Caenorhabditis elegans: one gene and its partners. The protein of the gene in region 3 binds, or shares a complex with, the protein of the main gene of each other region. Each region holds a gene or a part of one and is shown on either strand. Other genes may lie near its edges. The genes, in order: chch-3, immt-2 and moma-1.

Region 1 (3,752 bases), on a different chromosome or scaffold from region 3:
ATTGGCCCGTAAATCGACAAGAGTTACAGTAACCCGTTGATCGTGGCGAGACCATGTTATCTGTAGACGACTACGTAAACGAGGTGTCCATATAATAGTTTTAAAAAGTTAGAATCTTGAAAGTCAACAAGACCACACAGTAATAAATTCGAACCTAGTCAGGTGTACTGGCGAGAATCAAATCTGAAATCTATTCAAAAATAACCCGTTTTACCTCATTTTTCTGGTGATAATACGGAACCGCCCATCATCAGTCCCACTGCGTTGTGTGTCCTGTTGTTATCAGCTGTGTTTGTGTACCAAAAAAAATTTGCTACAACGCGTAGCTGATTTTTTAAATATTCTGAAAATATAGTGAAAAATATCTGAAAATTAAGTAAGGGGAAAGATGGGTACAGGAGCGAAATGCCTGTTTTGATTTTGGAATATATAACTTGAAAACGGATTTAAAAGTTCCCTAGAAGTTTATTGTTTCGTTCGTGGAACAAAAAAATTTGAAATAAAAAAGCAAAAGTTTTTGGGTGGGAGGCTGAGGGGGAAATACAAGTTTTGAGAAAACGGGGCACGCACACACACCTATACAACACTACGATCAAAAAAATGTGGGGAAATATGAAACAATGTATTTAAAAATCGATATGAAGAAATTTAATTTCCCTTGAGCACTTGTTGCCTGAACTCGCCGACACATTTCTCGAATGCCTGAAATTATAAAAAGAAAATAATTTGTATCACAATTTAATTAATTGTAGCCTACAAACTATGTAAACAATTGTTTGTTTTATTGAACTAGTATTTGTGTTTTTTAGAGGGATGAAAAGGATATGCCTTCAAAATTTACTCTAAATGTTCATAAATTTTGGAATTTTGCCAAAACTTTCATTTTCGGAAATCTTCAATTTTTTGAAAAATTAAAAAAAAAACCTTCCTGGTATTTAGATACTTTAGTTTTTCCTAAGTTGAAATGAAAACAAAAAAAATAGTTTCAAAATTATTCCCAATTTGAGAGTTATGCAAGACTTCAAATAATTCAAGTGGGTTAGTGATTGTTTTAAAACAATTTTCACAACTTTTATATTTTTTTAAATTTTAATTTTTTACTTTGCTCGTGATTCTAAAAAATTTCCCAAGTTTACCTCAGTAAGTGGAGCACACTTCAAAACACGTCCTGGATTTTCTTGAAGACATCTTACAATCTCCTGAAAAATGTTGGATATTCTCAAAAACTTTCTCAAATTAAAAATTACATTTTCATTATCCTGGCACACATTTTCACGGTGATAAGCGAAGAATTGCTTCTGAACGCGTTCAACAGTGTCATCGAAAATTTTCTTTCTCTCCTCCAAATCATTTCCGGAAATCGAAACTGGGGCGGCGGAAATTCCAGCGGTCTGAAACTTTTAAGTTTAATCCTATCAGGAAAGATTTTTTGATTTTTACCTTTCTCTGTTGCAGCTGACTGAGCTTAGCCATATCTTCTCTTAATCTAGCTTTTTCTTCACGCTCTCGAGCCAATTCTTGTCTGAGACGGTCACTTTCTCCGTCGTTTCCGGCAACTCTGGTCGCATTGACTCGGCTCACAACGTCCGATGATACACCGACGGTTCTGAAACGTTGAATAAATAAAAACTTCCTAGTTTCAAAAGAATTCCCAACGTAAAAAACTCACTTGTACTCCTCGGGAATCTCATTTCGGTCAATGCGCACCACTTCGGGACGTGCCTCTTGTTCTGCACTCTGGGATGCTCCCATCTGACAATTATCGATTAATAAAAGTTTAAACAGACACGAGAAATTAAATATAAAAAATTGAATTGTTTATTTGTTGTTTTGTGTGTAGAAAAATAATTTTGATAGAAACAAAAAATTAGCGTAAAATAAATAGCTAGCGCAATACTCGTGCACGAGATGTGCGCCAGCAGCTCCTTGACGCAAAACGTGACGTTTAGCACCAAAATGATTTTTGCTCTTTGAGTTCTTTGTTTTCGGGAGCAAATTTCATGCCAATCCCTTTCTTTTTTTCAAATTTTCCTGTTAAATTCATGTAATAACTATTATTCATGTCAATTACAACAAATAAGCATCCAAGATTTTATCATAAACTCGTTCAAACCTCCTTTTACCACTCGAAAAGCAATATCTCCGACTTCCTTCAAAGAGAAATGATGACAAAACATAGAAACCTCACGTTATACGTTTTGTCATCACGATTTCAGTGCTCACTTTTCTCATTTCATTCTCGCTTAATTTCATTTTTGTCACTCTCGCGTCATGTTTTGCATTTTTCGAAAGCATTTATTTAAAACTGAAAAAATAATTCGTAATTTTTCAAGAATGGCTCAAAAAGATGACCGGATTTTGCTGTTGAATGCTCCAAGGCTCCCGCTCGAAGATGATAAGCTCAACGAGCTCACCGCTGATCTTCACGATTGGGCTCATGTAAGTTTTTTTCTTAATTTCCGAATTTCAATGAATTTTAAACATCTTTCAGGCTAATGGGCTTGTCATGCGTCTATCAACCGACAAGTTGAGCAGCGAAGTTTGTCAAACTACTCCATTAACACTTCTTCCATCTCCATTCCCGAAAAATGTTTTTGAAGAAGCAGTTCATATTCAGAACCTTTTCGCAAGTCTTTATCACTTCATAGCTTATGAATTTGATTTTCTAATCGATATTCATAAAAATGTCGTGAAAACTGATGATTTCACACGGAATATGGTTGAGATCTTGAAGAAAGTCAAAGCCCAAGGACTCAAGCAACCAGTCACTCTCGCGATTCAACGATCTGATTATATGTGTCATAAGGATCAATATTCAGCGGAATATGGACTGAAACAAATTGAAATAAACAATATCGCCTCGTCAATGGGAGCACATGCTCTACGGCTCACCGAATGGCATATCAGAGTTCTTAAAGCGTTGAACATTTCCGATGACGTCATTCAAAGAGCAATTCCAGAAAACAAGCCAATTCCAATGATCGCTGAAGCTTTATTCAAGGCCTGGTCCCACTTTTCGAACCCAGCAGCTGTGGTTCTTGTCGTTGTAGAAAACGTCAATCAAAATCAGATTGATCAACGCCACGTGGAATATGAACTTGAAAAGTTAGGAGTACCGATGACATGTATTATTAGAAGAAATTTAACACAATGCTATGAACAGTAAGTTTTTGTATTTGAATACAGAATTCTATGTTAAAACTTTCAGATTATCATTGAATGATAGAAGCGATTTGATGATTGATGGGCGTCAAGTAGCAATTGTTTACTTCAGAGCAGGATACTCACCTGATCATTATCCATCTACAAAAGGTTAGCACAATTTTATCAACGTTTAGCTAAATTTTTCTGATATAACTCTAGTAAATTTATTCTTATTAGAAAGTTTTTTGAAACATTTCCGATTTGTTTCAGAATGGGAAGCACGTGAGCGTATGGAACTTTCCACCGCTATCAAAACTCCATGGATCGGGCTACAGGTGGCAAATACTAAGAAGACCCAGCAGGTTCTTTCTGAAGATGGAGTACTCGAAAGATTCATCGGAAAACCACGAGAAGCTCGCGATATTCGAGCTTCATTCGCAGGAATGTGGGCTTTGGAGAACACTGATGAAGTGACTATGAAAGTCGTGGCTGGAGCTCAAAAACATCCAGAAGCGTTTGTTCTGAAGCCACAAACTGAAGGTGGAGCCGCATTGCACACCGGTGATGAGATGGTTCAAATGCTCCGAGAACTTCCGGAAGAAGAGCGT
Region 2 (3,752 bases), on a different chromosome or scaffold from region 3:
CCATTCTTGCCTGTTTTCAAAAGCCAAACCGACAATTTTCACATAACTATCGCTTTTTATTTTTTAGAGATACATAAAAACCACATTTTGCGGTTTAACTATTTGAAAACTGGAATTTTTCTTTTTTCTAGTGGAATAGTAAAATGTGATAAATTTGCGATTTGGCTATTAAATTTAGGTGAAAATAGTCCAAAATCAAGCATTTCAGCTGAAAAACTGTAATAAAACTTCTCCTCGGGGAGTACACGAGCTGCGTAAATCGACACACATAATTTTCAATTTTTTTTCGTTCTTTTTTCAAAATTTTCAGGAAAAAATGCATTAATTCACAGGAAAAATTCGAAAAATCGACTTTAGAGGAGAAATTGAGATTTAAACGCAATTTTCTTTACAACTATGCCAAAAAAATGAATATTTGCCTTGCTATCAATCAATTTCTGGCTGAGCTGATCAATTCTCAAGTGAGCATGAGCCAAAATCGTGTGCAAATCCGCTTTTTTGATCTTCATTCCATCTTCATAATTCAAATTCGGATGAACTGCTTTCAGTTCCATTTGGAATTTCCTGCGGCTCTCCGCTACACGATCACTGTAGTCATGCACGAAAATACGCTCCGAATCGACATGTTTCACGTTTGAAATCATCTCATCCAGCTCGTTTGAGAGCTTTTCAGCAGTTGCTTTTGAGATTGGAACCAGTGGATTCAGCTGAGTAGTCTCACCTTGACCGCCGAGGTTTGCCTCCGTGACAAGGTCAGCGACGGCATTTCTAGCCAATTTCTCGGCTTTTTCATCCTTTTCAGCGAGCCGTTTTGCCTTCAGATGAGCAACAGTCACTGAATCCCAATCTCCGTCTTTTCCAGCTTCAATAGCCTCACGAATTGTCTGAACGTGATGCTCAATAGCTCGAATCGTTTCCAATTTGGCGCTAGTCGCAACTTTCGTGGCTTTTTCGGCTTGAGTTAGGTGGTTTTTCAGGGATTCCGTGAGCTTTTCGTTCCTTTCCTGGGGATTCAGTGGAGTCTTCGCGCCGATGTATGGATTTTCGGGCTTTTTCTCGATTTTCTTTGGTTCAGTAGTCTCTTTCAGGTTCTCCTTAACTCCGATCAGCTCTTTTTTCACGGGCTTCGGCTCAAATGGCTTTGGTGGAACTTTCGGATCTGCGGAATATTGCAGAGGTCGAAGATCTTTAAGACGAGGCGCCGGCGGTTCTTCTTCTCCGATCGTGTAATTCAAAATAGTTCGAGAACCGGGAATCACGCCTTCTAGCTGGAATTTGATTTTTTTTTTGTTTTTTTTTAATTTTAAATTTTAAAACCTTCTTTCTGAACTCATTATCATAAGAAGCGTATCCAGCAACTCCTGCTGCACCAGCAGTTACCGCTCCAACAGTGGCTCCGACAAACTTGAGACCTCCCGAAGAACCAGTTGCTCGAGAAGAAGCCAGTCGCTGAGTCTGAAAGTTCCCGAATTTGATTAATATTTAATAAATATGAACATACCAATAAATTACGACTTCCACGCATGACTTTTGAATTAAAAATCTGAAGAATAACACTCAAAACCGCTCGAAATGATTGAAAAATTGGAAAAATTATATAAAAAAGATTTTTAAATCTGTTTGACGTGTCACGTACTTTCGTGTACACGGTCACGTCAGAATGCAGATTTCAAAGTCTACCGTAGTCCTGGATTGTGAACTCGATAGATTTTTTGACATTTTTTGGCAAATTTCAGCGAAGCAGAAGAGTCTTCATTGGAAAAATGGTTTCCTCTCAGCTAATTGATTTCAAATCGGCACCCAAGCGCGCACAAAAGCTCATCGGCAGCGACTTCATGGTGGTTGCTGCATAATTTAATCTGGCGTTCTAACTTTTTAGTTTAATCTGGCGTTCTAACAGCGAGATTTTCCAATATTTCAAAAACAATTTTTTAGGTTCGATTTCTAATTCGAAAATTTGAACTTCCAGAACAAAACAATCTAGCTGAAATAAATGTTTGTCTTAAGTATTTTCCAAAAAATGCAAATTTGCTTCAACAGGACAGCTAGATTTTCCAATAATTCAAAAACAATTTTTTAGGTGCGATTTCTATAGTTGAAACTTGGAAAATGATTTTTCTCAGAAATTTGAACTTCCAGAACAAAACAATCTAGCTGAAATAAATGTTTGTCTTAAGTATTTTCCAAAAAATGCAAATTTGCTTCAACAGGACAGCTAGATTTTCCAATAATTCAAAAACAATTTTTTAGGTGCGATTTCTATAGTTGAAACTTGGAAAATGATTTTTCTCAGAAATTTGAACTTCCAGAACAAAACAATCTAGCCCTAACAACTTGTGTCTAAATTATTGGAAAATCTAGCTTTTCTGATGGAACAATTTTGGAAGAAAAAATAAAAAAATTTGTTTCCTCATTTGTTTCGATCAAATTGTCATTGTTTGTTTGCAAAAAAATATAAAATATATTTTCAGTTACACCAATTCATTCAATAAAGAAAAAGTAATAATTCAATCAAAACATACACATATATAAATAAATCTTCGGGCGTATCATTAGACAAGAAAATCTGATGAAATTTCAAACATTTTTTGCGGTGAAAAGTGAATAGAAAAGAACAAATTTTGGTAAAAATTGGACAAATTTGGAAAAAAATCGGGAAATTTTCGAGGATCATATGGCAAATTTTGTGTGCGCTGGGTGGGGGTTGGATTCCGATTTTTTGGTGAAAAACGGGGAAAAACGTAAAAATTAGGAGGATTTTTCGACTAGGAATGTTTTAAGAAATGGGTGTGGGAACACAGGGAATGTGAGTGAGAAAATTTGGAAAAAAAATTATGAAACAAGAAAAAACGAAATAAAATTTAAATGGATATGTGACAAGAAGATGCAAAAAATATGAAAAGTTTCTCTGGGGGTCCTGCTGCTGGATATTATACGTAGACCGGAGTCACATTGTGCTCTTTTTCGTAAGCCTGCCACCTCACATCATCACTTTCATGAGTTACGAATCGTTGACCGACAGCTTTTTCCAGTACTCGTAGATCCGACCATAGGGTGTAGTTCTGAAAAAAAAAGTTTTTCAATTTTTTCGTAAAAAAATTAATTTTCGAAATTATTTTTTATTGAAAAACCAACAAAAAAAAAATGCATTTTTTGCAATTTGTATTATTTTTTTTCAAAGGATTTTTGCGCTTAAAACAATTTTTATTTATCCTTAAAAAAATGTTTAAACCGATTTTTCTGTAAGTAAATTTTTTTTCGGATTTTTGGATTAAAATTATTTTTTTTTGCAATTTTTCTTTACTTTTTTTGGATTTTTCTAAATTTCATATGATTTTAAAATGATTGCAAATTAAAAAAATACAATTTTTTTCTAAGTTTTTCGGATTTTTTTCCCGATTTTTTGCAGGTAAAACTTTTTTTTGCTATTAAAAAAAAATTTCAAACATTTTTTCTAAATTCGAAATTTTTTAAAGCCGATGTTTCGGATTTTTTCAAATTAAAAAAAAAGAGATTTTCGTATTTTTTCCTGATTTTTGTGTTTTTTCCCCAAATTTTGAAAATTTTAAATTTTCGTTAAAAAAATATTTTAGAATTTTTTTTCACAATTTTTACAGTAGAAAGTAAAAAAAAGTTCAGCTTTCAATTCACAGAAAAAATCTTTAATTTTCTTTTTTTAACTTTTTCAGCTCGAAAAAATTTTCGCTGCGAGACCCAAAAAAGGTCTCCATATGCCTACCTGCATCCAGATC
Region 3 (3,718 bases):
TTAAAATGAGGGGAAATAATACACAAATCGAAAAAAAAGTGGCGGGGTGATTATATGCCAAAATATGTACGAGCCACATTAAAATCATTTATAGCCATACATTTACACCCACTGAAAATTCAAAATTTTCTTGAAATTAAAATGCCCACCCATAATGCTGATCCCCCGCTGCCCTCTCGCCTTCTCACCAGAGATGTGCTGCACCTTTTTTGAAACTTTCGGAAAATTTACAAAATTTTTCTTTTTTCGTTGTTTAGACGAAGTTTTTATTGGAAATTTAAATTATTTTGATTTTGATTGAAAGTGAAAAGTTCCTAAAAAAAAAGTAAAAATATTTCTGTGTTCCAATATAAATTTTCCAATTTTATCAACAAAAAAATGTGCCGCGCCTCTCTTCTCACCATCCCCTAGATTAAATTTTTGCGGGTGACTTTCTCTCCCTTCCCCACCCTCGCCCGTTCTATATATATATTATATACATAAGATTTATTTTCTTAATTTGTCCAAAAAGTGCCTCCCTTTCTGTTTTTCTCAGTTTTTTTTTCTTCAAATTTTGCATAAAAATCGCATTTTTATTTCACTACTACAGGAACACTGGGTTCGGCGCACACACAAAAAAAGAAACCGCTAGACATTCGAGTGGATATTTTTTACACACAAACAATTATTTTCCAATTATTTCGGTGGGCTCAAGTTAGTTTTGACGATGGCAGATGGAGTTGGAGCTGAAAATTTTATTTATTTCTCTCTGATTTTCAGAAATTTCAAGCCTACATTCTTGGAAGGAATACCAAGTTTGTTCAGCATGAGCTCTTCCGGTCTTTGCCACGTCAACAGCCTCTATCGGATAACAAAAGGCGGCCATCGTGGCCAAGCCGATGGTAGTGGTGAGGAGACGTCCGACCGGGCCACGTTTCAGGCCTAAAACGAATCCGGCCATTCCACCAACGGTGATTGCTGCGGCTTTTGGAAGAGCAGTCCATTCTTCTGTCAGATATGCATTGCATTTGGTCGCCGCTTTTTTTGTTTGAGTCATCGCACAATCGACAACTTTGAAGCGTTCCTGAAACAAAAATCGGTGATAAAAATATATTTTTCACAAAATTAGTTTAATTTTTACTTTTACTCAATTTAATGATATTAAAAATTTTCAATTTCCTCTCGAAAATGGATATTTTCAATGTATTTTTTTCTTTTGTGAAACACATTCGGTTTTCACTTGAAAAAACTACAGATATCAAATAATTACTTAAATACAAAAAATTAGCTAAATAAAATAATCCAAACTCTTCTTTTAAAAAAAAACCAATTAAAAACGAAATATAATTTTTTCTCCACATAAAATCGCGTAAAACTCACAGCAACACGATCATACTCCTGCTCACATGCGATACGAATAGTCGCGAATTCTCTTTGAAGAGGAAGTGGCTCTTCTGGAAGGAATTTCTGCTTCAGTGGAGCATTATCTTCAGCATAAATCGGAAGTTGCTCAATCTTAATAGGTTTTGAATCTCCATTATTCGTCGTGTTTTTCGAGGTGACAAGTTGCCAGAATTGTCCAAAAACATTTGTCACTTGTTCACCGGCGTTTGAAATTGTCTCCACAATCGGCTTGTCTTGTGTCATCTGGAAAATCAAGCGGTAAAACAATAAAATAATAAAACAAGAATAAATATTTTAAAATTGATTAGCTTATTATAATTATTAAAAAACCATGAAGAAATAAGTATTCCTACATTTGTGGCGCAAAATATCTCGTAGCGCAGGCTCTGTGTCGATTTACGGAGTTTGTGTTTATTCACGATGCGCCTTTAAACAATTATTTAAAATTGATTTTCTTTGTATTTAATTACCACTTTTTCATAAATCGACACCGACGCCTGCGCTACTATATATTTCGCGCCAGGCTTTCTTGTTTTTTTTTTAAATATTTTCTAACATTTAAACCCCTCTGAGGACGGTTTTAAAATTAAAATAGATAATTAACAGGCAATTAACCATGTCTTTAACCAATCCAAATTACCCTTAAAACACCCAAAATAATTTATTAAAAAAACGAAAATTGGGGAGATCTTTTGCATAACAAAACAGAAGAATAATAAACAAAGGATGTTCAGAATTTGGACAGTTTAGAATGGGGTTTTAAAATGGAACGTCAGTAATGGAAGTTTAAGAACGCGATCTTCTGCCGGCTGGAGAACGAGAGCGGCTGGCACGGCGGAATCTGTTGGGCCCTCCAAGTGGCATATTGTTGGCTCCTGAGCCACGGCCGCCCATTGGAGAACGTCTGCGATGTGGTGGTGGACTGCGGCCTCTGGAATTTGATGAAAATTATCAAAATATACTACTTTTCCTTGATTACTTACCCTCTTCTCATTGGTGACATTCTGTCTCTTGGTGGCGGCGAGCGTCTTCTAAATGGAGAACTTCTACGCTGGAATGGGACAGATTGTCGTCCGATAGTCATTTCGACGTGAACAGCCATTCCATCGATTTGTCCTCCATCCATGTGCTTGATCGACTTTTCGGCGTCTTCCAAATTGTCATATTCAACGTATCCATATCCACGATGAACATGGTTATGGAAGCGATCTGGTGGAAGATCGACATTCTTGATGGCTCCGTAGATCGAGAAAATCTCCTCGAGGTGCGTTTTCAGAACATTTCTGCTCAAATTTTTGATCACTACACGCTTGGCCGGACTGGCTGATCTTGCTGCTGGGCTTCTCCTCGGAGAAGCGCGTCTCCTCTGACGGCTCCCGCTTCTGTCACGACGATCACGACGTGGTGGCGATGGGGATGGACGACGGCGACGTGGTGGTGATGGTGATGGTCGCATTGGGCGATCGCGATCCGCGCGTGCTCCTCTTGGCGGTGAACCACGACGGATTGGAGAACGAGAGCGTCCTCCACGAGCTGGTGGGCGGGTATCACGACGACGTGGTGAGCGAGAACGAGAACGGCCACTGGACGATGAGCTGGAGGAGCGAGATCCTGATGAACTACTTCTGAAATATCGATTATTAAGCTATTGTATGAAAATTGTAAAGCATACCCAGAAGATGACGATCCAGAGCTACTGGACGAGCTGCTTGAAGACGAGCGAGCCCTCTTTTTGGTTTCTTCTTTCTCAACCATACTGAAAAATTATTTCATATACTCGAATAGACATCAACTAAGTAAGAAAATTTTCACCGCGTGGTGTTCGAGCAGAAGAAGAGACAGAATGTTGGCTAAAGCGCTTACTTTTTTGAGTAAATAATTAACCAAAAACAAGAATTACGGATTTTCAAATAAATTTTTAATTGAAAAACAAGAAAAAACCTATAGAAAAACTATAGAATTGAAAATATCGAATCATTTTTCGAAGAGACGCGGGTGAATGATTTACGGTAAACAACGCGCGCGGTGGAATATCGGAGTGTCGTTGCAAAACAAAACACTTTCGTTTTTTTTTTCAATTTCAAAATGGACTCTGCAGAATCTGAACTTTTAGAAGAAGAAGAGCTCCCAGAAATCAAATATATCGACTCTGCAGAATTCCAAAATTTCGATAATAACGCTGATCAGCGTGAAATTCAGTTTCGATGGATGGAAGCATTTGAAACAAAAGGTAATTTTTTCCCAAAAAAGTATTTTAGCACTAAATTCTTTTGCAGAACCAAGATGGTTTAGGCTTCTTGACGAATTCATCACTCCACTTTCTGGAAAACGTGGA

Evidence for each region.
Region 1: moma-1 (region 3) and chch-3 share a complex: the UniProt entries of both Caenorhabditis elegans proteins name them as parts of the mitochondrial contact site and cristae organizing system (MICOS) complex.
Region 2: moma-1 (region 3) and immt-2 share a complex: the UniProt entries of both Caenorhabditis elegans proteins name them as parts of the mitochondrial contact site and cristae organizing system (MICOS) complex.

The regions. Positions count from the first base shown.
Region 1 is NC_003280.10:9,415,013-9,418,764, reverse strand, and holds chch-3 (MICOS complex subunit MIC19), read right to left. Parts: upstream 1,753-3,752; coding exon 1,670-1,752; intron 1,607-1,669; coding exon 1,441-1,606; intron 1,392-1,440; coding exon 1,248-1,391; intron 1,200-1,247; coding exon 1,137-1,199; intron 847-1,136; exon of another isoform or gene 758-846; intron 703-757; coding exon 649-702; 3' UTR 449-648; downstream 1-448. Other genes in the region: gss-1 (Glutathione synthetase), read left to right, coding at 2,335-2,439, 2,492-3,162, 3,209-3,312, 3,415-3,752. UniProt on the Caenorhabditis elegans protein: Plays a role in maintaining mitochondrial morphology. May act as a component of the MICOS complex, a large protein complex of the mitochondria.
Region 2 is NC_003283.11:16,787,152-16,790,903, reverse strand, and holds the start of immt-2 (MICOS complex subunit MIC60-2), read right to left. Parts: upstream 1,638-3,752; 5' UTR 1,526-1,637; coding exon 1,502-1,525; intron 1,456-1,501; coding exon 1,318-1,455; intron 1,269-1,317; coding exon 420-1,268; intron 1-419. Other genes in the region: Serine/threonine-protein kinase dkf-2, read right to left, coding at 2,931-3,062, 3,740-3,752. UniProt on the Caenorhabditis elegans protein: Sustains mitochondrial morphology probably through maintaining cristae morphology. May act as a component of the MICOS complex, a large protein complex of the mitochondria.
Region 3 is NC_003281.10:850,771-854,488, forward strand, and holds moma-1 (MICOS complex subunit MIC27), read right to left. Parts: upstream 1,627-3,718; coding exon 1,360-1,626; intron 1,064-1,359; coding exon 775-1,063; intron 726-774; coding exon 676-725; 3' UTR 561-675; downstream 1-560. Other genes in the region: rnp-5 (RRM domain-containing protein), read right to left, coding at 2,170-2,314, 2,367-3,008, 3,056-3,138; tag-51 (uncharacterized protein), read left to right, coding at 3,469-3,613, 3,660-3,718. UniProt on the Caenorhabditis elegans protein: Sustains mitochondrial morphology probably through maintaining cristae morphology. May act as a component of the MICOS complex, a large protein complex of the mitochondria.